7 linked regions of the Xenopus tropicalis genome follow. The protein of the gene in region 7 purifies or fractionates together with the protein of the main gene of each other region. This does not show direct contact. Links are inferred from orthologs where the notes say so. Each region holds a gene or a part of one and is shown on either strand. Other genes may lie near its edges.

What was found.
Region 1: the proteins of eftud2 (region 7) and ruvbl2 purify together in Homo sapiens (affinity purification with mass spectrometry; 5 studies listed by BioGRID and IntAct, with this or other methods). This does not show direct contact. The link is inferred for Xenopus tropicalis from reciprocal best matches to the Homo sapiens genes EFTUD2 and RUVBL2.
Region 2: the proteins of eftud2 (region 7) and bcas2 purify together in Homo sapiens (affinity purification with mass spectrometry; 3 studies listed by BioGRID and IntAct, with this or other methods). This does not show direct contact. The link is inferred for Xenopus tropicalis from reciprocal best matches to the Homo sapiens genes EFTUD2 and BCAS2.
Region 3: the proteins of eftud2 (region 7) and eapp purify together in Homo sapiens (affinity purification with mass spectrometry; 4 studies listed by BioGRID and IntAct, counting the BioPlex papers as one, with this or other methods). This does not show direct contact. The link is inferred for Xenopus tropicalis from reciprocal best matches to the Homo sapiens genes EFTUD2 and EAPP.
Region 4: the proteins of eftud2 (region 7) and cdc5l purify together in Homo sapiens (affinity purification with mass spectrometry; 6 studies listed by BioGRID and IntAct, with this or other methods). This does not show direct contact. The link is inferred for Xenopus tropicalis from reciprocal best matches to the Homo sapiens genes EFTUD2 and CDC5L.
Region 5: the proteins of eftud2 (region 7) and sf3b1 purify together in Homo sapiens (affinity purification with mass spectrometry; 4 studies listed by BioGRID and IntAct, with this or other methods). This does not show direct contact. The link is inferred for Xenopus tropicalis from reciprocal best matches to the Homo sapiens genes EFTUD2 and SF3B1.
Region 6: the proteins of eftud2 (region 7) and ncdn purify together in Homo sapiens (affinity purification with mass spectrometry; 4 studies listed by BioGRID and IntAct, with this or other methods). This does not show direct contact. The link is inferred for Xenopus tropicalis from reciprocal best matches to the Homo sapiens genes EFTUD2 and NCDN.

What each region holds. Positions count from the first base shown.
Region 1 is NC_030683.2:113,417,080-113,421,130, forward strand, and holds the start of ruvbl2 (ruvB-like 2), read right to left. Parts: upstream 2,801-4,051; 5' UTR 2,605-2,800; coding exon of another isoform or gene 2,556-2,604; intron 1,568-2,555; coding exon of another isoform or gene 1,512-1,567; intron 1-1,511. UniProt on the Homo sapiens protein: Possesses single-stranded DNA-stimulated ATPase and ATP-dependent DNA helicase (5' to 3') activity; hexamerization is thought to be critical for ATP hydrolysis and adjacent subunits in the ring-like structure contribute to the ATPase activity.
Region 2 is NC_030682.2:7,012,579-7,016,377, reverse strand, and holds the end of bcas2 (pre-mRNA-splicing factor SPF27), read right to left. Parts: intron 2,862-3,799; coding exon 2,769-2,861; intron 2,309-2,768; coding exon 2,238-2,308; intron 2,105-2,237; coding exon 1,943-2,104; intron 1,820-1,942; coding exon 1,769-1,819; intron 1,504-1,768; coding exon 1,423-1,503; intron 911-1,422; coding exon 790-910; 3' UTR 501-789; downstream 1-500. UniProt on the Homo sapiens protein: Required for pre-mRNA splicing as component of the activated spliceosome. Component of the PRP19-CDC5L complex that forms an integral part of the spliceosome and is required for activating pre-mRNA splicing.
Region 3 is NC_030684.2:108,121,522-108,125,571, forward strand, and holds the start of eapp (E2F-associated phosphoprotein), read left to right. Parts: upstream 1-1,250; 5' UTR 1,251-1,399; coding exon 1,400-1,473; intron 1,474-1,856; coding exon 1,857-2,056; intron 2,057-2,394; coding exon 2,395-2,496; intron 2,497-4,019; coding exon 4,020-4,050. UniProt on the Homo sapiens protein: May play an important role in the fine-tuning of both major E2F1 activities, the regulation of the cell-cycle and the induction of apoptosis. Promotes S-phase entry, and inhibits p14(ARP) expression.
Region 4 is NC_030681.2:148,162,113-148,166,293, forward strand, and holds the start of cdc5l (cell division cycle 5-like protein), read right to left. Parts: upstream 2,801-4,181; 5' UTR 2,606-2,800; coding exon 2,561-2,605; intron 1,703-2,560; coding exon 1,599-1,702; intron 438-1,598; coding exon 276-437; intron 1-275.
Region 5 is NC_030685.2:45,880,922-45,884,421, reverse strand, and holds part of sf3b1 (splicing factor 3B subunit 1), read left to right. Parts: intron 1-674; coding exon 675-854; intron 855-3,500. UniProt on the Homo sapiens protein: Component of the 17S U2 SnRNP complex of the spliceosome, a large ribonucleoprotein complex that removes introns from transcribed pre-mRNAs.
Region 6 is NC_030678.2:82,060,958-82,065,252, forward strand, and holds the start of ncdn (neurochondrin), read right to left. Parts: upstream 2,801-4,295; 5' UTR 2,642-2,800; exon of another isoform or gene 2,607-2,641; intron 808-2,606; 5' UTR 794-807; coding exon 677-793; intron 1-676. UniProt on the Homo sapiens protein: Probably involved in signal transduction in the nervous system, via increasing cell surface localization of GRM5/mGluR5 and positively regulating its signaling. Required for the spatial learning process.
Region 7 is NC_030686.2:17,862,544-17,866,537, reverse strand, and holds the start of eftud2 (116 kDa U5 small nuclear ribonucleoprotein component), read right to left. Parts: upstream 2,801-3,994; 5' UTR 2,750-2,800; intron 2,688-2,749; exon of another isoform or gene 2,664-2,687; intron 969-2,663; 5' UTR 958-968; coding exon 847-957; intron 1-846. Other genes in the region: ccdc103 (coiled-coil domain-containing protein 103), read left to right, coding at 3,100-3,150. UniProt on the Homo sapiens protein: Required for pre-mRNA splicing as component of the spliceosome, including pre-catalytic, catalytic and post-catalytic spliceosomal complexes. Component of the U5 snRNP and the U4/U6-U5 tri-snRNP complex, a building block of the spliceosome.

The sequences.
Region 1 (4,051 bases), on a different chromosome or scaffold from region 7:
CAAAAGCTAGACATCATGCCAAGATCCAAAGAAATTCAGGAACAAATGAGAACAAAAGTAATTGAGATCTATCAGTCTGGTAAAGGTTATAAAGCCATTTCTAAAGCTTTGGGACTCCAGCGAACCACAGTGAGAGCCATTATCCACAAATGGCAAAAACATGGAACAGTGGTGAACCTTCCCAGGAGTGGCCGGCCGACCAAAATTACCCCAAGAGCGCAGAGACAACTCATCCGAGAGGCCACAAAAGACCCCAGGACAACATCTAAAGAACTGCAGGCCTCACTTGCCTCAATTAAGGTCAGTGTTCACGACTCCACCATAAGAAAGAGACTGGGCAAAAACGGCCTGCATGGCAGATTTCCAAGGCGCAAACCACTTTTAAGCAAAAAGAACATTATGGCTCGTCTCAATTTTGCTAAAAAACATCTCAATGATTGCCAAGACTTTTGGGAAAATACCTTGTGGACCGACGAGACAAAAGTTGAACTTTTTGGAAGGTGCGTGTCCCGTTACATCTGGCGTAAAAGTAACACAGCATTTCAGAAAAAGAACATCATACCAACAGTAAAATATGGTGGTGGTAGTGTGATGGTCTGGGGTTGTTTTGCTGCTTCAGGACCTGGAAGGCTTGCTGTGATAGATGGAACCATGAATTCTACTGTCTACCAAAAAATCCTGAAGGAGAATGTCCGGCCATCTGTTCTTCAACTCAAGCTGAAGCGATCTTGGGTGCTGCAGCAGGACAATGACCCAAAACACACCAGCAAATCCACCTCTGAATGGCTGAAGAAAAACAAAATGAAGACTTTGGAGTGGCCTAGTCAAAGTCCTGACCTGAATCCTATTGAGATGTTGTGGCATGACCTTAAAAAGGCGGTTCATGCTAGAAAACCCTCAAATAAAGCTGAATTACAACAATTCTGCAAAGATGAGTGGGCCAAAATTCCTCCAGAGCGCTGTAAAAGACTCGTTGCAAGTTATCGCAAACGCTTGATTGCAGTTATTGCTGCTAAGGGTGGCCCAACCAGTTATTAGGTTCAGGGGGCAATTACTTTTTCACACAGGGCCATGTAGGTTTGGATTTTTTTTCTCCCTAAATAATAAAAACCCTCATTTAAAAACTGCATTTTGTGTTTACTTGTGTTATCTTTGACTAATAGTTAACGGTTTTTGATGAGCAGAAACATTTAAGCGTGACAAACATGCAAAAGAATAAGAAATCAGGAAGGGGGCAAATAGTTTTTCACACCACTGTATGTAATATGGTTTAGAACAGTTCCCTTAGCCCTGCCCCCTGTTCTCCTGCTGATCTGGCTGACAAGCCTGCCTTCAGCCAGCATACTCCAAATCCCACAATTCCCTGCACATATGATGTTAAATTTACTTTTAGAAGGAAGGACAGATCGACACGTATCCAATCTGCCACTTGCTTGTCTAACGCTAACCAGTGTCATTATAAGCAAAAATTCATAACCATTCATATTATAGTATTAGAGCGCTTTCAGTACCTGACGGGGTTCCAACGCATCGTCAAGGCCAAGCCCTCTGATGTGAGAATGTGCGCCTGGCAAAGAGAGACAAATGTTAGACTATATACACAAAAATAAGCAGTTAATAGGTAGGAAACACAAAACACAGACTAATTTTAATGTGTTGGATATCTTTTGTATTAATCTATACATACCCAGACTACCTCATACAATTAATATGCACTGTTACACGTGCTAATGCTAGGATGCCAAATGCAGAAAAATAAATGTTTTACAGCTGGATTTCAGCATATAAAATGGTATTTATTCATACTTTTTAATGGAACAGATTACAGGGATAGGTATATTAGGGGTTTCTGTGTTGTGTGGGGCTCTTTAACTAATTTTGGCTTGGAAGCCGCTGTTTGATTTAATGGATATGGAGGTGAATATATATTGTCTTAAGCGAGTTAGAGAAAAACATAAACAGACACTGCTTTCATTTGCAATTACATGTACAAATTGTTTCCTTGAAATATTTTATTATTTGGATATTTGTTAAGCAATATATATGTTTTATTTTATCATATATAGTATATATATATGTTATCAAAATAATCTGGCACAGAGCCAACAGCTTGACCAAAGTGTAGGAAAAAAGGCACTGTGGGCATTCCTTATTAGCAACATATTTCTTACTTTAAACAGGCAAAAAATTATGCTCAGCACTCAAAATTTTTGAAAAGGGGTGTATAATGCGCGTTTAAAATTGTTGTTGCAATTAGATAAATAAAATTAAACACATTTGGCTTGAAAGTAAATGAAAATAGTGATGGAACTTTGTGATGCTAATGCCTGGGATTGCAGCAAAGTTACAACCCTCTGTAGCTATTTATCACCAAGGAGACTGTTTGTTGATTAAACTGCACTGCTGCCCATGGAAACAAAAAGTGTCACGATGCAATGGAGGTGAATACATGAGTTCTAAAATATTCAGTTATTTGAATAGGAGGGCTACATGGGAACCACATCATGTTTAGCAGGTTATTTTTGTGTTTATTTTTGTAGTATTTTTACACTCACCAATCCTCTCAATCCGGGTGACATCTCGCACCTCTGGCACCTTGGTTGTCTATGAGACATAAATAACCATGAATATTGATCACGGTTTCCTTTAGACATCAATGCATGAAATACTAATTACAACTCAGCAGCAAAATAAATGCAGGAGACATTGGCTTATAAAGATTCACCAATGTTTTCTACAGAATGTGAGATTACCTCTTGAGAATTCCAAATGTATTTGCCCCACCCCTGCATGTTGTGAGCTGAACATTGTTTTTTGTCCACCTCATGCCCATTTAGCCCTACCTTTATATAAGAACAACTGCAAACTGCCTCGGCCTATGCCTGTCATTACCATCCTAACAGTCTGCCCTAAGGATCTTCCCCGTTAACAAACGGTTTCCTAGTAACAAATCAAGGTTGTTTGCAAAGCAAATTCTCCAACAATAGGATACGGGATGGTAAGAACCAAGGCAAACTGTCCTGCTATAGGATACCCAAAACACACGGGTAATTCATGGAACTGGAGTCATTTTACTCTTATAGTACTCAAGAGCAACTACATACACCCCTGTCACACCAGGCAACACAAGCCATCTGACAGGGAGTATGATGTGAAATAACAGCTCAAGCAGGTGAGCAGTTTATCTAATTGAAAGGATTTACTAACATTTGCACTAAAAATCTGCCTTATTCTGGACAATTCGTAACCAGGAAGCTGTTTTTTTTTTTTTTTTGGTCATACAAAAAAAGATGGGCTAAACTGGCAGACTGTCTATCCAGGAACAAGCAAAACAAAGCTACTGAGACTAACACCGTGTTAAATAATTCATCCCCAGAGGCCCAGAATATTCAGCATACCTCTGCCACTACACCACAAGCAACCCCCCTAGCTACTGCATGGCTATATCCAAGGATGATGGAAAGGCTGGAGGAAAGCATCTTTGGTCTACATTGCATTCAACTATAGAGTAATTAATTTGCTTACCATGAACCAACACTACTGCTCCATATAAAAGTGGCCATACACACCAACACATTTCACAGAGGGGGGAATTTACAAACAGATGCATGCCCTACGGTGATGCAGAACCCCATGGCAACCATAGTTCAGCTTTTTGCAGTCAACTGAGCAGAATGCTATGGAGTAAATGTTTCAGTTCTGGTGAGGCTGGCTGCACTAAGAGGCCTGAATATACTGCATAGAAACAAGAGCTCTTTTTCACTTTCCAATAATGATAAAGGAATGAAATCTTACGCCATGTAACTACAAACCTGAACCTATGCATAGCCACAGGAAAAGTATCTCATATCTGTTATAGGCTGTTTCTCTGGAGCTAGTGTGTAGATCTGGGTTACTCTTTTATATGCAGTGCCCCCTATACCCCATTTGGCCTGGTCAGGTTCCTGCTGCCTCTCCCTGGGCACTATATGTTGACTAACATAGAGCAAAACTGTCCTGATGAAGTAACCTATGGCAACCAATGAAATACAAATGTTTGCTGTAAAGAGGA
Region 2 (3,799 bases), on a different chromosome or scaffold from region 7:
ACTTCTTTAGTTTCCATGCTATTTGCAGTATTCACACCAAGTCAGAGCCAGACAGATAGGGGAAAAGTTTCATTTGCTGATGCTGGAAGTGTCTCTGGGCTCAGTGCTGCTTGTGTCTCCGCCTGCACAGAACAGCAGGGGGCGCTCCTGTTACACCTTCATGATATTAACATTGTAAAAACAGATGAGACCCAGGAGGAAGGGCAATGCCAGGCTTTCCCACTGTATCTCTATGGCCTATAGAAGACAGTTCATTGGTTTTTACGCTGATTTCCTCTCACTGTTACACACATGACCCGTTATCTGTCGAAGCTGCCCATGTGGGAAATCCGTCCCAGCTCAGAACATACCTATTTCCCTCTGGTGAGATCAGGCACTTGTGCAGAGACGGGGGTGCTATCTAATATATAATGGTGTGCCCCCACCCAGGCCAGGGTTACGGTTGTGTGGGGTGCTCAGTACAGACCCCCAGGAGCGCACAGGATGATAAAAGTGGAAGATTTCTGGAAAACACTTTATTATTAATATTACAGTGAAAAACAAGTCAGAATTTCCTTATAAAAGCCGGTATGTGCCCGGCCTACGAGGCAGCACTGGGGCATTTGGGTGAAACAGGGAGACCCATCCCTGCGCCTATCAGCACCCAGGCAGAGACTACTCGCTACATTTCCAGAGTGAAGAGCCATAAAGCAACCAGAACCCCCAGCAGCGCTGCCCAACATGGCGCCAGAGTCTCTGCAGCAGGACCGGTGCTGTTACCCTGGAACCTGTAATCCTTGGGGCAGGGCCTTAATAATCTTCAATATTTTCCTTATTCTCCCCGCTCCTCTCTTTCAGCTGATAGACTTCATTCTCCATTTGCACAATTGCTCTCTCAATCTCGTAGTTTTTGCTCACAAGAGACACCCACCTGCAACCGGCACAGAAAGCAAGTTAGAGACAGACGAAAATGACTACCAGTTCTATTAAAGCTAAAATATTAGCATCCCATAAATACCATACACTGTACTAAGCACAATTCAGCAGGAACAGCCCCCTAAGTTTGCTCATAGCCTGTACAGAGAGATACCATAAAACTATGGCACATAGGGATTCCCCTGTACTAAGCACAATTCAGCAGGAACAGCCCCCTAAGTTTGCTAATAGCCTGTACAGAGAGATACCATAAAACTATGGCACATAGGGATTCCCCTGTACTAAGCACAATTCAGCAGGAACAGCCCCCTAAGTTTGCTCATAGCCTGTACAGAGAGATACCATAAAACTATGGCAGCATAGGGATTCCCCTGTTCAGCAGGAACAGCCCGCTAGGCACACTCAAAGCCTGTGTGTACTTCATTCATGGAAATACAGTATAGGGGAGTAGGTATTCCCTTGATAAGTTCACCCTAGGTGTGAACAAAATGCACAAATCTCACTTACGTTGACTCCATCTCTCTGAGTCGGGCACCTGCTGTCAGCTGGGAGTTCTTTCTCTGCCAGTTCAAGTCCTGAATCTTTTTCCTGTTCCGGTAACAAGACAAATAGTGAAAGCGTTAGAGCTGTTAAAATGGAAGTGTGCAACTGCTAGTAATACCCCAGGGCTAGGAACTACCCCACGTAGGTAACTCGAAGCTCATCCCAGTAATTACACAGGAACTGAGCTCTAAATCTCTGCACTTCCTGCTTCTGGGCTGCTCTCTTCCCCACGGCCAGGGAAGGATTATATATATATATATATATATATATATATATATATATGGTTAGTATGGGCTTAATGCCGTCTCACCGTAACTTCTGGAGATCTTTCTGCGCGCAGTCGATCATATGCAGCAGGTTCCTGGGAGGAGACAGAAGAATCACGTGACTGAAGGGCGGCAGTATCATTGGGTCATGCTATATCCTGTGCTGTAAATCAACACCCCCCCCCCCCCCCCCCCCCAACGCCATGTTCCCAACTCACTCGTTATAGACTTTCCAGGCGTTACAGCCGTGCTGGGACATGAGCTCCAGGTTCTCTATACGGACGGCCTGGTGTTCCAATTGGGCCATGGAGTTATTGACACATTCCTGCCACGCGGTGATGTCGTTCCTCTGGCCGGATAGGGGGGCCGGTAACTCATACCTAGAATCAGAGAGAGGGGTATGGTATTTCCACGGATACCCTTCAGCACAATGAGACCACATGGAAACCACAGGGCTGTAAAGCAATGCACAGATCTTGGTCCAGTAACCCATAGTAACCAGACGGCACTCACCTCTTCATGCTGAGCAGTTCGAGGGGCTGGCGCGACGAAAGTCTTTCAAACTCGTTCCTCATGATTTCAGTCTAAATAAAATGAATGAAAGTTGGAATCTTGGTCTCCTCTGTGAAGGGAACATGCCCCCCACCCACGTGATATTAGCACCAGTAGGTGCCAGGGTGGGCTCTGTGCATGCAAACCCCTCGGGGTTATGGGACTATGAAAGCAATCTTTGGAGAACTGACAGACATAAGGACGAGTAGTAGCAGAATGAATAATGAAGTATTAATATTTTGCAGAGATATCAAGTTGCTAGGGTCAAATTTACCCTAGCAACCAGACAGTGGTGTGAATGAGTATAGGGGAGGGGCTGGATAAAAAGTAACAGTAACAATAAAATTGAAGCCTCACAGAGCAATAGGTTCTTAGTTGCCAGGGTGAGTTCTCTAGCAGGGAAGCCATTTGGTTGGCCAATGTGCAACCACCGTGAATAGAGCAGAGGGGCACCCAGTGTAGGGTGCTGCAGAATAGGGAGAAAGCCATTACCTCAAATGCGGAATAGTCGGGGGTGGGCAAGTAACTCAGGTAGTTCTTTGTAGGCCGATATCTTCTGGTCTCCTCTTCCACCAAAGCTGCAGCCTGAGAGCAACACAGACCGGTTATTTACAGTAGAAATGCCCCCAATGGGAGTCATGTGACACACAGGGGCAGCACAGACCGGGTATTTACAGTAGAAATGCCCCCAATGGGAGTCATGTGACACACAGGGGCAACACAGACCGGGTATTTACAGTAGAAATGCCCCCAATGGGAGTCATGTGACACACAGGGGCAGCACTGACCGGGTATTTACAGTAGAAATGCCCCCAATGGGAGTCATGTGACACACAGGGGCAGCACTGACCGGTTATTTACAGTAGAAATGCCCCCAATGGGAGTCATGTGACACACAGGGGCAGCACAGACCGGGTATTTACAGTAGAAATGCCCCCAATGGGAGTCATGTGACACACAGGGGCAGCACTGACCGGGTATTTACAGTAGAAATGCCCCCAATGGGAGTCATGTGACACACAGGGGCCGCACTGACCGGTTATTTACAGTAGAAATGCCCCCAATGGGAGTCATGTGACACACAGGGGCAACACAGACCGGTTATTTACAGTAGAAATGCCCCCAATGGGAGTCATGTGACACACAGGGGCAGCATTGACCGGGTATTTACAGTAGAAATGCCCCCAATGGGAGTCATGTGACACACAGGGGCAGCACTGACCGGGTATTTACAGTAGAAATGCCCCCAATGGGAGTCATGTGACACACAGGGGCAGCACAGACCGGTTATTTACAGTAGAAATGCCCCCAATGGGAGTCATGTGACACACAGGGGCAGCACAGACCGGGTATTTACAGTAGAAATGCCCCCAATGGGAGTCATGTGACACACAGGGGCAACACAGACCGGGTATTTACAGTAGAAATGCCCCCAATGGGAGTCATGTGACACACAGGGGCAGCACAGACCGGTTATTTACAGTAGAAATGCCCCCAATGGGAGTCATGTGACACACAGGGGC
Region 3 (4,050 bases), on a different chromosome or scaffold from region 7:
GGCCAGGTGTATTACTTTTGTAATAGTTAGTACTACATTTTTATAATAGTTGGGAGTAGCCTGGGGGGGCCTGTGGAAAGTGTAACCTAGGAGCCTCGCATGACATTAATCCAACACTGAGCTAGGTCCCTATTTCATATTCATATATATTCTAACACACCATGGTTACCAAGCAGAATCATGGTGCAGTTAGTGGGCTTGCTTTATAATGCTAGAGTCCTGGGTTTGATGCACACTAAAGCTACATTTTTATTTGTTTTTTTTATGTGTATGTTCATAGGAATAGTTTTGGTTTTATGTAGTTTATTTTGAGACATACGATTTAGGAATAAACTCGGGGTTAGATTAGATTTTAACAAAAAAAAATGTATACAAATAAAATTCACTATTAGTGGTCTTTATTTGGGGATATTAGGTTTAGAGTTAGGCCAGGATTAGCCGACAAAATATAAGTTTTTCCATATCAAGAAAAGTGTATTTTATTTTGGGATATTAGGTTTTGGGCTAGGATAATGGTTTGGCTAAAATTTAGAACTGATTTCTTTAATTGCCATTAGTAGTCTGAGCACTGAATATACTATATCTGAGGATCTGGCCTCTATAAACACACATTCTATGCAGGGAAACCAAGGAACATGATACCAAAAATTGTGGGTGTGGCATATTGGGGACCTGGTGACATCACTGAGCATGGGAAAAATCCCTGTTGATGTCACTTATGCACAGGATGTTCTTTTTTGGCGCTAAACACTGTAGGTACACTGCCATTAAAGGAACAGAAACACCAATTAAAGCATGTATAAAATATAACGTTCAGTTGTTCTGCACTTGTAAAAACTGATATGTTTGCTTGAGAACCCCTACTATAGTTCGTGTAAATAAGCTGCTGTGTTGCCATACTGCATCAATTCAGTATGAACTAGTTCTAAATAGTGCGGGTTACATAGCGTTAGCCCATTACAGATAAGCAGTGTAGAATACATTGGGTTTAGTTCTAACGCATGAATCTTCTTAGCCTACAAAGTACATCTGCTAGGTAACGTGTTCTCCTGAATGGCTGCGCACATGCTACACAGCAACTTAGTTGTACAGACTGCAGAAGTGCAGACTTTGTCAACTTGACAGCTCAGGTATCTGTGGGGAAGGCCGCCCACTTTTTTTAACTGGGTACTAGGCGCCGCCATACACTTTGCACGGCGGCGTCCGGCGTCACTACGTTTAGATACGTGCGTATGACGTCACGGTGTGGCGCGGTGAGGCTCCTTTAGCCGTGGATTGTTTCTCCTGTCGTAGGGAAGGAGCTAGAATTTAGCCGCGTCGCTGGCCTGTGCGTCGAGTTAAGAAAGCCGATACTGTCCGGGAAAGGGCGATAGCCCCTCTCTGATGCAGTGTATCTACCATGGAGCGGGTACAGTCTGACTACGACTCTTATGCCATAGAAGAACCCAGTGATGAGGAGCCAGCAAATAGCAGGTAAATCTATCTATACATTTAGGGGTATATTTATCATGCTGTGTAAAAAGTGGAGTGAAGCATTACTGGTGATGTTGCTCATAGCAGCCAATCAGCAATTAGATTTCAATTGCTGCTATGAGCATTTACACTGCATGATAAATATACCCTTTAGGGTTCATTTATGTTTATTAATAATGCAAACGTTCATATTTACGCTTAAATACATATATTCTTTCTGAGTAATAGCACATAGATTACAGGGTTTTTAGGCTTCTAGCACACAGACTGGAAAGTGCCTGCAATTCTGCCTTGTTGCCATCATTTCCACGTTTTACGAGTATTTGAGACAAATTAGCACCTTATTGTAACGCCCTTCTCTCTTTTTATAATCCCTTTCAAAGCTCTGAGGATGAACTAGATGTGCTTTTACACGGGACGCCTGATCAGAAGCGCAAGTTGATCCGTGAGTGTCTAACCGGAGAAAGCGAATCATCCAGCGATGACGAATTTGAGAAAGAAATGGAAAATGAATTGAGCTGTAAAATGAAGACCATGGAGGGAAGCTGGCAGCTGGCTGTCCCCGGTGTGTTAATAGGATTTGGTGATTTAATTTTTATATATTCCTATTAAGGTTAGATCTGACTAGGGATTTATTATTATTTAACATGAAGTCTGATAAATAATATAACTTGGTGTCTCTGTATAGGATAATGACCTTTGAGGGTCTTACTTTTATTTTATGCTCCTCTTGTCCCTTTTTGTCTTATTTAGCTGAATAAACTGCACAGTAACCAGTGTAATGTACTATGTGAATTAAAGTCTTGGCTGTGGAGTTATATAGCATTATATATACTATTTTACATTTTTCGGTACAGTTTAATATTCTATACACAAGCCCATTTCTGACCACTTGTATGTTTTTTCCTTTTTGTATTTCAGTTGCATCCACAAGTAGTGGCACTACAACTTCCAATTCCACTAAGCCCGAGTATTACGATGATGTGTATTTTGATTCGGATTCAGATGATGAAAGCTCCAATGGTAGATCCATCTGTTAAGTGCTGTAGTTTGTGTGTTTTTTTTTCTTTTTTTTTTTTTTTTTTCTTTAAATATTATGTATAGAGTCACTAAGTACCAGATAAGTCATGATGTAATGTAGACTCTTGTATATATTATATAATTATATTCCTATATAATTGTGTGTGTGTGTGTGTGTGTGTGTGTGTGAGATCTTAAGGTATTTTTATTATCCATTAAAGACCCAAAAGTGCAGTTCATTCTATTTAATGGATGAATTGTAAATGCTGGGAAGCATCTAGGCACCGTTAAGGAAAACACAGCTCAAAAATTCAGGGGTGTGGGGTGCCAATTTGTGAGGCACCTACCCCAGTTGGCACCTGATATCCTGATCTTGTAAGCATTTTATTTAAGATTAAGATCAGATTATGCTTCATTAGCAATGATGTCATGTTGAGCCCAGAGAGAGGAGGCAAGATGTGCTACTGCACCACTATACAGTACCAGGATTGGCATTGTTTAGAGCACCAGGTTTTCCAGTAATGGAAAAAAGGTGCCTCGCAAATTTACACCCCTAGGATTTGGACTTCTGTTAATGTTTTCAAGGACAAAGAAAGCCTTATCCATTGGGAAATGGCAATACAATTAGGCACCTTCTCCACCATCCCTGTGTATTTAGATGCTAAGTTTTTATCCCCAGTGCATTTTAGGTGGAAATAATACACCAGCCAAGGGGGGGGGGGGGGGGGGGGAAGTAGCATAGCTTTGCCATTTTGCTTAGATTTCCCAGCAATTCCTTAACAGTCCTAGACTTTTACAAGTAAAGTAAGGGTAAGAACTCACAGAGCGGTTGTGTCGTCTGTGATAGATCTCTGCTATGGCGGGCAACAAACCCCTCCAAAAAGGCTTTCCACTGCCAACAATAGGAGTCGCCAGGGAAAGCCCTTCACAATGCTTCGGTAATCTGAAGTCGCGCAAAGTTTCCTCCTGCAGGCAACTTCGGAAAACGAAGAGATGCGAAGGGCTTTCCACCAGCGACTGTTGTTTCCAGTGGAAAGCCTTTTCGAATTGGTTTGCCCCCCCCCCCCAGGCGACAATACTGCTCCGTGGGTTCTTACTCTAAGGTTTACATAATATTAGTGGCACTGTCTTCCCCTCCCCTTAATTAGGGCTTTTCTTGTGCACCATCTTGGGACTTATATTTTCATTGGTTGTTTATGTGCATGTTGTATCTGGTTTGCAGCTGTTTATATAACTTTCTCTACGTATTCTTTGTAATGTTTGTCGCTTAACATGAGCTGGCATGTGTGCAACTTATCTTAAAGTTAGTAAAGGGTGGTGTGCTTGGTAAAGGGTAGAATGGGCAGTCATGACAAATACAAAAAAATGTCACTTGTTGCTTCATTTTGTATTATAGTGTAAAATTGTTTTGCGTGTGCTTTTCACTCCCATTTTTTATTCTTGTCACTTATCTGTTAGGGATTTGTTTATGCATAGACTGTACACATCTGTATATATTTCTCACATCTATCTCTGTGGTATTACAGTTGTTCAAAAGAACAAGCAGAGGCGTAAGCC
Region 4 (4,181 bases), on a different chromosome or scaffold from region 7:
AAATTACTGGTCCTTTAACTAGCAAATGCTATGGTCAGAATCCCTAATAATCAGGTTTGGGCTGGTAAACTATACCTCAGTATGGGGTAAAAACAAGCAAAGGACACAATAGCGATTAAGAAAAAAACCCATATCAAATTCCTCTTCTGGTTAAGGGTACAGTTACTTCTTGCCTGATAGAATGGGAACGTATTCACACTGCTGTATCAGAAAACAACTGTTCAAACTGCTCAACAACAATTCAAATGTACATTTTCAGAATGAATGGTACGTACAGTAAATATTCATAGTGCTCAAGGCACTGGGCGGCTGTTCTTCCTATGATAGGAGCGATTGTCCTCCACTGAGTTGGCATCAGCTTGGCCAGATGAAGTAGTTTCTCCTCTTCTTCTCGGGACCATTCTGTCTTTTTGATGCTTGGGTCAAGCCATTCATACCTGTCACAGAGACATTAAACGAATTTAGCAACCAATGTTACTACAGATATTCAGAAGGGCACTTGGTAATTGTTAGCTTGTCTGCCAACAAATCTAAGTGAAAGCATGGAACTTAATTTGACTGTGATATCACTCTGTTTTTTGTTAAAGAGCCCCACACAACACAGAAATCCCTAATATACCTATCACTGAAATCTGTTCCGTCAAAAAGTAAAAATAAATACCATTTTTATATGCTGAAATCCAGCTGCAAAACAGTCCTTCTCTTTCTGCATCATTTGAAATCCTGGCAGGGGAGAAGGGACTAAAACACTGATGTTACAGATTGTAACAACTTCTCCACAGCTTACAGACAGCATGCAGGAACTACATAACCCACAATGCATTGCACTAGGATGTTCCTTTCCTTATTGACATCACGTGTGCAGCAGGGGATTGTGGGATTGGGAGGATGAAGGCTGAAGGCAGGCTGGGGACAGGCGACTACTGTTACATTTTATTTGAGTCACAAAGTAGCCAGCCAGATCAGCAGGGGAACAGGGGGCGGGGCTTAGGGAACTGTTCCAAACCATATTATTACATTAAAAACCATGAAAAGGCTGCATACTTTTAATTGATATATACTGCTTGAAATTATGTTTACTTTTTAAAAAACTTAAAATACTTTAAATGCTCATAGCAGAAGATTACACACTGAAACAATTTCCTAAATGTTTTCAGGGTGCAATATTGGGCTAATATATCAATATGTATGTATATAGGTATGTATGCATGTACATAGGTATGTATGTAGGTAGGTATGTATGTATGTATTGTAGCAATACATATTGCTACATGTATGTATACACATTTCTTCAAGGTGCATTTCTAGGTGTAACCCAAATTATCATTATTTATATAGCGCCATCAATATACGCAGAGCTTTACAGCCCAATGTTCAGTCACATGACCATGCCCTTCATTACAGACAATATGGATAGACTGTCAGTGCATTATGTGCATGTGTAACCCTTTCCATGCCTGCTTTGCCCATTCTCTTTACCCCCCCCCCCTTCCACCAATGCAGAATACCAGCTGTTGCGGGGCAGTTTATCTGGTTTCATATTAGAACAGGAACGTATGGAACGCTACGGGCCCGTGGCTATAATGGCCGGGACGTACCATCGGGCTTTGCACTGTTTGGCCGATTTCCTGTGCAGCAAGGAAGCAATACGAGACCACTGGTTTTTCCCATATTTCATAACAGCCGCTTTGAGGATTTCATCCTGAGAAAATAAAGAGGAAAGTGCGTTATAGTATATCAACACCACACATGAGAAGTGAGGGAGACATAGGGTACAGGGGTATCTTAGTATGAAGCAAAATGCATATATATATATATATATTTTTTTTTTTTTTTTTTTTTTTTTAAAGGTTTTGATGGATTTCCCTTCCCCTCTGTCCCTATCCATCTTTCAAAACGTAGGGCACTGAGCCCAATTTTATTTTTTTTTACTTTATATTACTTTTCTATTTAGACCATTCTTCTATTCACCTTCCACACCACTGCTTAGCTGCTAGGATGAAGTGGACCCTAGCAACCAGATAGCAGATGAAATTCAAAATTGGAGAGCTGCTGAACAAACAGCTTAATCATTTAAAATAAAAACCCCACATTAAAAATGAAGACTGAGACTATAATGCAAATAGCTAAGGCATAACCCCCAGTGGCTGCAGTCCATAGCAACCAATTGACAACCAATGCAATCTGCTGATTCGTTGCTATAGGAAAACACACCTTGGTTGGAATTCGATCACAAAACAATCTGGCGAGCAATGGGATGCTGGGAGTTGTAGTATAAGTTGGCCCACCTATATTGGCTTTCTCTACAGGCCATAGAGGCACATTGAACTAGTTACCTGCACCTAAATTACACTATTATTTCCTATAATTAAGCAGCTCAGCTTCACTCAAATACTCCTGTGCAATTGGTCAGCTTTACAATCCTGAAACACTAACAGGGAAAAGGCCAAAGCACAAGCTGGGACCCTGTGAACAACAACTCCCAGAATCCCCTGTTGGAAATATCAAGGCGCCCATGTGAGTTCATTGAGCCGCTACACAACGCCATAACCCCTCTCACCTCGGTGTTCCGCCACACCCCGCCTTTTATCATAATTCGCGGCATCCTGGCTGCTGGTTAGGGGCCCCGGGCCCGCACGGTGTAGCAAGGAGAGAAACGGGGAAAGCGGCCTCCGGCTTGTTGTGCAAAGTGACGCGCACACACACCAGCGTGCCCGCCGCTCTACTGCTAGTCACAGCGCATAGCGAACATACAGTAACTCCCCACAGCGGCCTCTGGTGGCTGGAGGTTAGCATTGCATGCGGAACAACTGCGCCCTTAGCGGTAGCGGAACAACATTTACCAGAATTCCCCGGCAAGTGAGAGGAATTCCCTGGCAAGAGAGAGGAGAGGCATTATGGGAGTTGTAGTTTATCAGCTGCAATAGTGTGAAGTAATTGTAAAAGTGGTAAAGGTAAGGTTAGGAGATACCCTTTATTAGTTAAGTCACCTGAGTAAGTAAACATTGCAAGCTTTGGAAGCACCCAGGCTATTTCAATGGCTAATATGGTAGAGGTTTAGGACCTGTTATTCAGAATGCTTAGGACCTGGGGTTTTCCTGATAAGGGATCTTTCTGTAATTTGAATCTCCATAACTTACGTCTGCTTAAAACCATTTAACCATTAAATAAACCCAATAGGGCTGTTCTGCCCCAATAAGGGGTAATTATATCTTAGTTGGGATCAAGTACAGGTATTGTTTTATTATTACAGAGAAAAGGGAATCAATTAACCATTAAATAAACCCAATAGGGCTGTTCTGCCCCCAATAAGGGGTAATTATATCTTAGTTGGGATCAAGTACAGGTATTGTTTTATTATTACAGAGAAAAGGGAATCATTTAACCATTAAATAAACCCAATAGGGCTGTTCTGCCCCCAATAGGGGTAATTATATCTTAGTTGGGATCAAGTACAAGTTACCGTTTTATTATAACAGAGAAAAGGGAATCATTTAACCATTAAATAAACCAAATAGGGCTGTTCTGCCCCCAATAAGGGATAATTATATCTTAGTTGGGATCAAGTACAGGTACTGTTTTATTATTACAGAGAAAAGGGAATCATTTAACCATTAAATAAACCCAATAGGGCTGTTCTGCCCCAATAAGGGGTAATTATATCTTAGTTGGGATCAAGTACAGGTACTGTTTTATTATTACAGAGAAAAGGGAATCATTTAACCATGAAATAAACCCAATAGGGCTGTTCTGCCCCCAATAAGGGGTAATTATATCTTAGTTGGGATCAAGTACAGGTACTGTTTTATTATTACAGAGAAAAGGGAATCATGTAACCATTAAATAAACCCAATAGGGCTGTTCTGCCCCCAATAAGGGGTAATTATATCTTAGTTGGGATCAAGTACAGGTACTGTTTTATTATTACAGAGAAAAGGGAATCATTTAACCATTGAAATAAACCCAATAGGGCTGTTCTGCCCCAATAAGGGGTAATTATATCTTAGTTGGGATCAAGTACAGGTACTGTTTTATTATTACAGAGAAAAGGGAATCATTTAACCAATAAATAAACCCAATAGGGCTGTTCTGCCCCAATAAGGGGTAATTATATCTTAGTTGGGATCAAGTACAGGTACTGTTTTATTATTACAGAGAAAAGGGAATCATTTAACCATTAA
Region 5 (3,500 bases), on a different chromosome or scaffold from region 7:
ATTTCCACTCACCACTGGCTCTCTGGTAGGAGAGCAGGTGGGAACAGGGGTTTATATGCAAACAAATCTGGGCAGACATGTCAGTGCAAAGGGAGAGGTGGGAAGAGGGGGCCAGGTGTTTGCTACTCTGCGCTAGGTCCTTCTGAAGGTGAGCCTGGTGCAGAGTTGTTACCCCACTGCCACAACCCCATCCTTCTGTGCTTTGTAAGTAAGTTGGGTTTATGATTCATAAAAATGTCAGTGAAAGCTATTATAAATTTTAAAAGAATTCAACCAAACCCAAAACAAAAAATGTATCCTCATAATGAATCTTTCCCCCAGCTCCTCCCACTGGGGCACTAACCCCTCCAACCAAAGTTTTTAAAACTTCAGAAATAGGCAAATAATTAAAATGCCGTTAAAATATCTTTAGAGAATATAGTTGTACTTTCTGCAGGCTTCCCCTTTTCTGATTTGCTTTTTTCAGAGGACCTTTGGTATTTTTTTCTGCCAGTGGAGAAATAAAAAAAAACAAACATCAGGAAGAACTAAAGCTTAACTAAAGAAGTAGGCTAAAAATGTTATACATTGTTTTGGGCATCTGCACACAAGCTTTTTCATTGTTATAACATTAAAACTTGATATGCATAGTGAAATATCTTGCTTAAAGTTGTCACATTTTTAATCTAATTTAGGCTGCCTTACGACAAATAACTGATAAAGCTCGTGAATTTGGAGCTGGTCCACTATTCAATCAGATCCTGCCCCTGTTGATGTCACCAACACTTGAAGATCAAGAAAGACACTTACTTGTAAAAGTCATTGATAGAATTCTGTATAAATTGGATGACTTGGTCCGCCCGTATGTACATAAGGTATGAATTGCTTATCTGTATTTATTTAGATTTGTTTTACTTCTGTTAGTACATTATTTCTTAACCCCTGCATTGCAACCCATTCTTAAGGTTATCACTGTGTTGTAGATAGGTCACATGTAAGAAAATTTGGAGTCCATGTCATTTCTTTTTTTTTTTTTTTTATACTAACATAATTGTATACATCCAATATACTGATAAAAGTTTGCCTCGACACCTGCCCTAAAACATGGTTGCTGAAACACATACTCATAGATATACATATTTACACATGTAACAGAGCACTCATTGTGCAAAATTTTAATGGTGTAAGTCGACGTTTCATCCTACCCAGATGACCTTTATCAAGACATCACAAACAGTTCCCCAAACGAAACAAACTGAAATAGTCAGTAGTGGCTGAAAATTTACACCAAAGACCCACCCCATGACATAATAGGTGTGAGGAGTACACTGTAGATTACATCACCATGTGGAGATCGTTAAGGTGATGAGCAAAGAGAGATACGAGTAGGTAAAATATATTCAATAGTGCATATAAAGTGCTATAAAATTGGGTGTCCAAATGGTAGATAAAATCATATAACCCCATGGGCAAGAAGAAGAAGTGGAAGAGGGGGAAAAAAGAGAGCCTTAAAGGGACAGTAACACCAAAAAATGAAAGTGTATAAAAGTTATTACTATATAATGTAATGCTGTCCTGCACTGGTACAACTGGTGTTTTCCTTAGAAAGACTACTATAGTTTATATAAATAAAGCTTCTGTGTAGCCACGGGGGGCAGCCATTTACAGGAGAAAAGGCACAGGTTACTTAGCAGATAACAGATAAAACCCCATTATATTCTACAAAGCTTATCTGTTATCTGCTATGTGCCTGTGCCTTTTCTCCTTTTTCCCAGCTTCAATGGCTGCCCCCCGTGTTGACATAGCAGCTCATTTATATAAACTATAGTAGTGTTTCTGTTGCAAACTTACCAGTTTTACCAGCGCAGGGCAACTGTACATTATATTTTAATTACTTTAAAACACTTTCATTTTTTGGTGTTACTGTTCCTTTAAAAATAGATGAGGAAAAATGAGGAAGTAACACGTAAAGAGCCTTCAGCCCAGGCATAGGTTAGCAGAATGGCAGCATTTGTAACACTGCAGTGTCATGCGGTTATCCTGGGAAAGAAAATATATGATCAGCCTCCTGAGAGGAAACCGTCACAATGGCTGAGAGCAGCACTTTACTTGGGGTTGCAGACTTGTATAGTTATCATGAATATCCATGCTGAGCAGTAGGGGTGCCCCAGAGCACTACTTTGCATGAAAAAGGTTCCATAGACTGAAGACCATAGTATAAATAATCCACATTGAGTGGCATACTCGCGGCAATGCCCCGGCACATTAGTAGTGGCATACTCGTGGCTCAGATAGTAGAGTATATAACAACAAAGAAGCTGCATCACAGAGAAATAAAAGCAATGGATGAGGCACAGGTTAGCCCATTACTGGAGGTATCATGGCAATTAAGGGCTGCCTAATCGCCGGTTTAGATGACAATATGTTTAGGTCAGAGTAACCCATGGTGTCAGGGATAGAAAGGGGAGAGAAGAGAAAAAAGGAAATTAAAAGGAAGAAACTAATAGAGCCATGGTCATATTAAGTTGTCAACAGTATATCAAGAGGAGACAGTGGCTGAGCAAATCCTAAGTAGAATCCACATAACCAATATTATAGAAAATTAGATCATGTTCTATGTTCATATCACGTCAAGAGGAAATATTAGATACCAGTAGTAGCATATGCATATTAACAGTAATTGTCATTACAGTAGTAGAATAAGTCTCATGGGAAGCAGCGGTAGCTGACTTTGTTTAGTACATTACAGATTGTTCAATCTACATTCCATTTGTAGAATACGCTGAGCACTGTTCCCACCCCTGGGTGAGGGTAGGCAGTGATCTATCATCATACATCTCATGGAATATAATGCACGTCCCTTTTCAGGGAAGTGTCTAGCTACAGGTGTTTTAGAACTGCCCTTCTCTAGAGCTTCCTTAATGGAGAATTGGGGATTAATGCAATGATTTGCCATCCTGTCCTGAAAGAGGTGTTTGTTTTCCCAATATAGTACATGCCACAGGGACATGTAATGAAATATATGACAAAATCAGACAGGCAGATAAGATAGTGACGTATGTAGCAGCAATTGCCATTTTGTGGACGTGCGAAAGAAGGACCAGTTATAAGACTGTGGCAAGCAGTACAATTAGGGCAGCGGTAGCACCCACGTTATCCTTCTGTTGGGGGGGATTTGCTGGAGGAAGAATAGAATGGACCAACATATCTCTAAGATTGCATCCTCTGCGAAAGCCTATGCCCGGTTCTTGCAATTATCAGTTTGTAAAATATTCCAATTATCCTTGACAGTCCTTAGAATATGTTCAGCACCAGGGAAGTAGGTTGTAGAAAAAAAAATAAACGTTCCAGGGCTTGTGTTGGTGTGTGAATTTCTGTTGATAGCCATGTTCATTGCACTTTATTACACTCTTGAATATACTGTTATTTTACCAACTCGTATCTCCCTTTGCTCGTCATCTTAACAATCTAAACACTGTGAAGTAATCTACAGTGTACGGTTCACACCTATTATTTCATGG
Region 6 (4,295 bases), on a different chromosome or scaffold from region 7:
TACCTTGTCCTTTAAAGAATAAAATGAATGCATAAAGAAAAAAGTAGTTTTACAGTACATAATAATCTTTTGTTAAAAGAACATAACAAATACCAGTAAAATTTCTAAAGCACTCTTGGCTTACTGGTTCCTGTATACGAAAAGACAAATAACCTATCAACCAATATCTGGCCAGGGATCACCAAATAAATCAGAAAGGTTTAAAAAATACCAGTAGCTGAGGAAGTATCAGCCTATGAATGTGATTCTCTCTAGGTAGCATAGGTCACTGTTACAACACTATCACTGGCTTGGTAATGACCAAATCCTTCAAAGATCTGGTCATTTGAACATCCTCACCACTTCTAATCTACTAGAAGTAGATTATATAGTTGGAAAATACAAGCTGATCGAGTAACTGCAGGGCACTCCAAGTTAACGAACAAAAACAATTTACATCAAATAAACCCAACCAAACTCTCCCCCCCAAGTCGAAAAGCTTTGGATTTATTTAATGTAAATAAATATTTTTTTTGTTCATTAACTTGTGGTGCCCTACAGCACTCGATCAGTTTGTGCAACAAACTAGCACTTCATACAATTTAATTGCATGTGAATCAACCAACTAGTAATCACTTGCTTAATGCAAGTGGAAAAGTATATTTACATTTTAGCACAGTACAAACACCAGTCTCACCAGAAGCAGGGCAGCAAACTGTTCACTGTCAGTCTGTGCTCCTTTCAGAACCTCAAGACATTTTTCCAAAGCAGGATTCTTGACCTCATTACTTTGTTTCTCAGCTGTATCAGGCATTGTGCTTATTAGACCTGTAAAGACAAAAAGAATGCATACTAAACCTTTAGAAAAAAAAAAAAAAAATTAAAGATAAAAAGTGCTACATTCAGAAGAACAGTACCTCTAAATAATCAAAAAGTGCTAAAAACAGAAATGCTTTACTATATATATCTATTATTAAATATTATATAGTATTTTAAATCCAGCATCCATCAAAATAAACCCCTCCACCCCTCAAAAAAAGGAGGGGATATGCAATAGGCTTCTTGTGTCTGCCACAACCCTAATCTGAAGGTAGATTAAGAGGGGGGAGAAGTTAAAACACAGGTGGGATGTATTTCCTGCATGTTCATTTCAGTGCCTGCGATGCATAATTGTCCCCAAACATTGGCTGCAGTGCCCAGCATCTCTGAACTAATAAACCAGGAGCTAGGCGAACTGGGATTTAAAATAGGCCCTGGCATTTCAAGTACATAGTACCCTACCAGTCCAATAATTAGTGACTGTCTTTGGAATTTTACAGTGACCCCTTCGGCAATTAACAGAATCCACAAATTGCCAGTCTGGGCATGTACAGGAGACTCGCTCATTACACGCATGTGACCAAACATGGCCATCCATCCTTGGAGCTTCATCCTGGGGCAGGTGGTATAGGGCTTGCTAGGGTCATTCTCTGACCAATTGGGGAAACAATTTGGCCATGATAGGTGCCTTGTAAAGGAGAACTACCCCTTGCTTTCCTTTCATGAAATACATTTCTTGCTGCTGGAACAGAGCTGATTGGTAAACAGTTTGAACATACTTAGATTGTGAGCTTGGCCCACCAATCCTAAACTGTTAAAGGGGTGGTTTACAATTAAAGTTAATTAACTTTTAATATATTATAGTATGGCTAATTGTAAGCAACTTTTCAAAAGGTCTTCATTATTTATTTCCTATAGTTTCTGATCTATTTGCCTTTATCTTCCAACTCTTTGCAGCTTTTAAACGGGGGTCCCTGACCCCAGCAGCCAAAAACCTATTGCTCTGTGAGGCTACAGTTTTATTTTTATTGTTACTTTTTATAACTACTTTTTCTATTCAGGTCCTCTCCTATTCATTTTCCATCCTCTCATTAAAACTGCTCTCTGGTTGCTATGGTAATTTGGACCCTAGCAAACAGATAGCTGCTGAAACTCCAAGAATCAAGAATCCAAGATGGGGAGCTCCTGTGACAACTGTAACGACCTATATCATTACTACTATAGAGATGCTGAAACTTTAAGCCAGTGTAGTCAGTTTATAATATAAAATATGGCATTTCTACCCATATTCATTTTTAGGGTTTGGTTCTCCTTTTTAACTAAAAAACTACGAAAAATAAAAAAAAAATGAACACCAATTGCAAATTGTCTCAGAATATTACTCTCTACATCATACTAAAAGTTAACTCAAAGGTGAACAACCCTTTTAAAATACCATAAGACCCTTGTTTGTTAAATGATTTTAAAATTTAAAGCGCCGCTGAAATGTTCTAGTGCTATATAAATAAATAAGATAACAGGAACCAGGACAGATTTTGGCACTGACAAGAACCTGAACACATAGCTATTAATCCTGAAGTATGTACAAATAATAGGGAGGTTCTTCTTTAATTAAATAAAGTGTCTGCCAACCACGGCAATAAGTGCCAGCCTGAGAGCCATGTGCTTAGCCAGCCAAAACAGGCATGCGAAACGAACGGGCCCCTGTGCATATCACTAAGTTCCAGATCTGTTTGTTCCGCGCTACTGCAATAGACTATCGTAACACCGTGACCCTGTAAATCTTTAGATTAAACCTCTATTAATACCTCTTACCAGGACCGTATAACAACCAGCTACTCACAATGCGCTCTGACAACTTCCACCAAGACCGCCCACTACCCAACTTCCTAGTCTTGCGCCTTTTGGAACGCCAGCCAATTGCCTGTTTCCGTTTCTGGACAACTACCAATCACATTGTGAGACCGCATCCCGGTGCGGCTGTCATGGTGACGGACGCCATGCTGCGAAAAGAGCAAGTACACCCGAGTATCCGGGAGCCAGCGCTTCCGGGAGGAGGAGCTAATATCTGGGTACAGGGGGCGGGTTCAACAGAGACTGATCGGACAACAGGCACAGGTAGTCGCTAATGGTATTATAGTGATGCGTTAATATATATAAGATATATGAGAATTCTCTCGAAACATATAGTTTCATTGCGTGCGAAGGTTAGAAGTACTAGTACCAGCACATTACAGCGCATTCCCTATACTCGAGTTTTTCTTACAGCTAAGATAAATCTACATTATTGCTGCTTCCTATGGGTTTGAATATGTGTCCACACATACATATATGGATATTGATAGCTTTGTAAATACTGTCACGATCTGTTGCACTCACCCTGCATGAATAACTGCATGGCCACAAAGCGCTGACCTAGTGAATGTATTTAGCTGCTTTCACATGCCTCCCATTCTATAGGTGCTACACATTTTAATGTGTGACTGTCTGTAGTGTGTGTATATGGAGTCCAAACACAAACAATTCATGAGCACTACCTATTTATCTGTTCATTCATATTGCGTGGCCACTAAACATTGTTAGTGTATACCTGATATGTAGTAGATGATGTAATGTTTATCATTGCTTAGTGGTGCTTTGTGGTATATGTGTGTGACATGTGTCCTATGGTGATGAATAAATGAAGATACTAAAAGCAGGACTGCTATCAAATTCATGGGTGGAATGTATGGGATTTTTGGCCACTCAGAAATACAAAAGGTGGCCCTACACAATTGGTGAAAGTTTAGTATGACCCCAGTCCCTGGGAGTAGGCAAGCTATTTTTTGACTGTCTTTTATTGATATTATTATGAACGCTTATTTATAAAGTGCCAACAAATTCCACAGAACTGAACAATAAATGGCTACATATAAAAACAACCAATAACTGATACAAGAGGTAAAGAGGGCCCTGCCCAGATAACTTAGGGAGAAAAGTGTTTTTCATTGTGTAGAGAAAAATATGTGCCTTAATTAAAGAGTGTAACCTATAAATTTATGTCCTATAAGTGACTTCATTTACAGTAGAACCCTAATTTTTGACCCATATTTTAACTCCCCCATACAGGGAGTTTTTTTCCCTCAGATTTTAGGTTTTCCAAGAATTAATGCCATTTTGATGCCACCCCCTGGGAAATGTATAATCAGGATGTATTTATAAGTCAGCATTCTATAGAGATGTATGTCCTGACAATTGCTGTTGTTAAAGTTGTTTAACCTTTAATATGGGTACTAAACACACATTTACAATAATTGTATTGTGGGTCTGGCTTTGCTGGATGGTTTTTTTCTGTGTAAACTTGGGGCATTTACCCCTGTGGTCGATTTCTCTTGCATACCGCCTGTGCATCCAAGCGTCTGATGCAGGTGAAACGCAACTTGATGCGTACCGCCTGAGTTTAATGCTGTGCACCTGTGTCAGTATGTGCCAATGTGGAAGAATGGGCTGCATTTTGT
Region 7 (3,994 bases):
CCATGCACCATGGCATTGTATAAATGCCATCAGGGGATGGTATTTCTACAATGCTCAAGAAAGCATGACATTTATATTTAATATGTGTCCAGTTTCTTTTGGTAGGGTATTTGGTGGCAATTTAAGAATAAATATTATCTGAGAGTCCGATAAACTTTTATAGACTTAGTGAGGCTTTACATTGACAACAATAAAAAAAATAAATCAACTACAATAAAAACAACAAGGAAAGGCAAAGTCACTTGGGGGTGCCAAAATGTTAGGCACCCTCAAGTGACTTTAACCGCATACCTTGTACCCCGGGCTGGTGCCCCTGTTAGGAGAAAATTGCACCAGCCCGGGGTACCTGTAGCGAGCGCTTCCTCCTTCCGTATTTGCGCTTCAGGCAAATTCCCAGGACAATCGCATGCGTAGTAGAGTGAAAAGCCGACTTTATAGTTTAAGTTCGTCTTTTTCACTCTACTGCGCATGCAAGCGAAGCAGGAAGGAGGAAGCGCTCGCAGCTACCCCGGGCTAATGCTATTCTCTCCGAACAGGGGCACCAGCCCGGGGTAAAAGGTAAGGTGATTTAAGTCACTTGGGGGTACCTAACATTTTGGCACCCCCAAGTGACTTAGCCTTTCCTTCTCCTTTAACCCATGCAATGCCATAAATATAGGATCCATGGCACTTGCATGATGGTAATTTGGTGTTGTGCCACATATTCTCTGGTGCGGGTATATAAAGGGACTAACAAAATTGTTGTTCTATGGTAGGCCCTGATTAATACATCTTCATGTTTTTGGCTTTATTGTTACAGAGGTCTCATGTGCAGGCCATGTATGTATGTAATGAGAATTGCCTTACCACATCCACATCCCTGTCATCTCTCCCCATGTCATCGTCATCATTATCATCATCTGAATCCAATTCAGGCCCAATGTAGTTACCAAATTCATCGTACAAGTCAGCGTCCATTTTAGCTGAGCCTTATTTTAAAATATAAAAAAATAAATAAACTCACTGGTCAATGACAGAATCCCCACCACAAATACACACATTAAAGGAATACTCTCTTTCCTTTAAAAAAATAAAAAAAATCAAGGTTTCGAGGCAACTTTTCTTTAAAGTCAGATGAAAGGAGACCCAAGGAGCCATTATCTATTGCCAGCCTACTTCCCCACCAGCAGCAAACAGGCTGGTGTTTATTAGCACTGCTTTGCTCACTGCCTATCCATGCATCTGCCCAACTCTATCCACTCCCCTTGGACGCTGGGTTGTATGCAACATGTTATCTCAGAAAGTGAATACAAAGGAAAGGCTACTCACTAATGTTCTTGCCGGCAACTGTTAGCAACAGTTATAACTGTTACCTTAAAATCAAGAAGCAATTATTTGTATTGGGGTAACAGTATAACAGAATAAGGTGAAAGTAGAAATAAAGGCAAATAGGATCATTCTACAAGTGAAATATAAGCCAGAGATGAATTATGACTCTCTACGTTCCACAGCCACAGTTAACCTTAAAGGAACAGTAACACCAAAAAATGAAAGTGTATAAAAGTAACTAAAATATAATGTGCTGCTGCCCTGCACTGGTAAAAGTTGTGTGTTTACTTCAGAAAGTCTACTATAATTTATATAAATAAGCTGCTGTGTAGCCATGGAGGCAGCCATTCAAAGAAGAAAAGGCACAGGCACATAGCAGATAACAGATAAAACACTATTGTATTCTACAGAACTTATCTGTTATCTGCAATGTAACCTGTGCCTTTTCTCCTTTTTTCCAGCTTGAATGGCTGCCCCCATGGCTACACAGCAGCTTATTATATAAATTATAGTAGGGTTAAGCTGGCCATACACGCACCAATACTATTGTACGAAACCCCGTTTCGTACGATATTCGGTGCGTGTATGGCATGTCGGCGAGTCAACCGATATCGCAGGAAGCTGCTGATATCAGACGACTCGCCGATCGGCCAGGTTAGAAAATTTTGATCGGGCGCCATAGAAATCTGCCGTCAGGGCTGAATCGGCAGAAGGAGGTAGAAATCCTATTGTTTCTACCTCCTTATCTGCTGTTTCAGCCCTGACGGTGTGTGGCGGATCTGACATCATCAGATCGCCACGTGTATGGCCAGCTTTACTGTAGCAAACACACCAATTTTACCAGTGCAGGGCAACAGTGCATTATATTTTTATTACTTTAAAGCTCTTATTTTTGGTGTTACTGTTCCTTTAAGCTTTTACCATAATACAGACTGATGTAGTCTGGCCAACTGGAGGACTGCAGGTTGGACATCCCTGACATAATTAGCAGCTACAGTAGGGTATCCATCATTCTGCTCTAATGTATAAAGCATAAAAGAGGAAGGCTTATGCCATACACCCAATGGCCCAACACCAAATCAAGGGTACCCAGGTAATGTGGGGGTTTACTACTTGTCACATCATTGCCCCTGGGTTATCCACCCCAGATAGGACACCATAAAAAATGTACTTTTACTGCATTACACCTAGAGGAAAAAAATGGCAAAAACATTACCATTATTTGAAAACTTTGCCCAGATTAAAAAAAAAAGGGGGGGGGACTTTCCCTTTAATGCAATATGGCAACACAATAAATGTAGTTAGCCGTGCTGCTTCCTACACCCTCTAGCAACCCAGCCAGGCCCTGTGCTTACTGTATATCCACCTAAAGGTATCAAGCGAGATTCATTTCTAGCTACAAGGAAAATATCCCGTTTCCTTTCCATTCATTGCAACTTACCCGCTCACGCCGCTCTCACACACACAGACACACGCCACTTCCTGCGACAAGGCCACGAAGGACCCCGCACGTCGGCTATACGCTTCTCAGCGTGCAGTACTCGCAGGCCTTCAAAGTTAAAACGCCCTTTCCTTTTTATGACTCAAATGAGGCTACATGCTAGCAATTGTCATAATGTGCAGTTATACCTAGAATTGCACTAATTTCATATGAAACTTGCAATTTGATCAGGCACCCTGTTAAACACCTATTCAAATAAGCTCGCCTTTAAAATACGTAAAGGACCTAGATGTTTTCTGATTGGCCAACAACAGTCTTTGACGTTCGTTCGTGTGATTGGCTGATACGAAATGGAACGTTTCCATAGGAACGGAGAAGCGGAGGCAGACGGTGAGGAGCAGGTAGGTTTGTATGGCGCTTTCACTTGCTGGATTGCGTGCAGTTTGCTTAAAAGTACATATTCCGATTTAGAATTGTTAGATATTTTCAGGGTATGCACCTGAAATCTCCAACCTGCTGCACTCCAATATGTTGAGTCTAAGCAGGGCCGCTGCTGGCCAAATGGGTGCCCTAAGCAGAAATGTACTTTTGTGCCCCCTCCCCCAAATATTACGGAAGTAAAAATAAAATAATAAAAAAAACACCTACTATAGGGGCCCCACTAACAGTGCCCCCAATTGCCCCCATAGACACTGCCCCCATAGACACTGCCCCCATAGACACTGCCCCCATAGACACTGCCCCCATAGACACTGCCCCCATAGATTGATTGAACTATCTGGGACAGCGGGATGCGCTATAAAAACCGGCGGGACAGTGTTGGGGGTATGTTATAATATATAAAAACGATTTTTTTGAGCAGCAGGGATGGTGCCTCCCTGGGAGTTGGTGCCCTATGCAGACTACATACTCATAGTTACATAGGGTTGAAAAAAGACCAGAGTCCATCAAGTTCAACCCATCCAAGTAAACCCAGCACACACAACCCACACCTACCAATCTACATACTCACATACATAAACTATAAATACAACCACTAATACTAACTGTAGATATTAGTATCACAATAGCCTTGGATACTATGCTTGTTCAAGAACTCATCCAAGCCCCTCTTAAAGGCATTAACAGAATCTGCCATTACCACATCACTAGGAGGGCATTCCCCAACCTCACTGCCCTCACCGTGAAAAACCACCTACGCTGCTTCAAATGGAAGCTCCGTTCCTCTAATCTATAGGGGGGGCC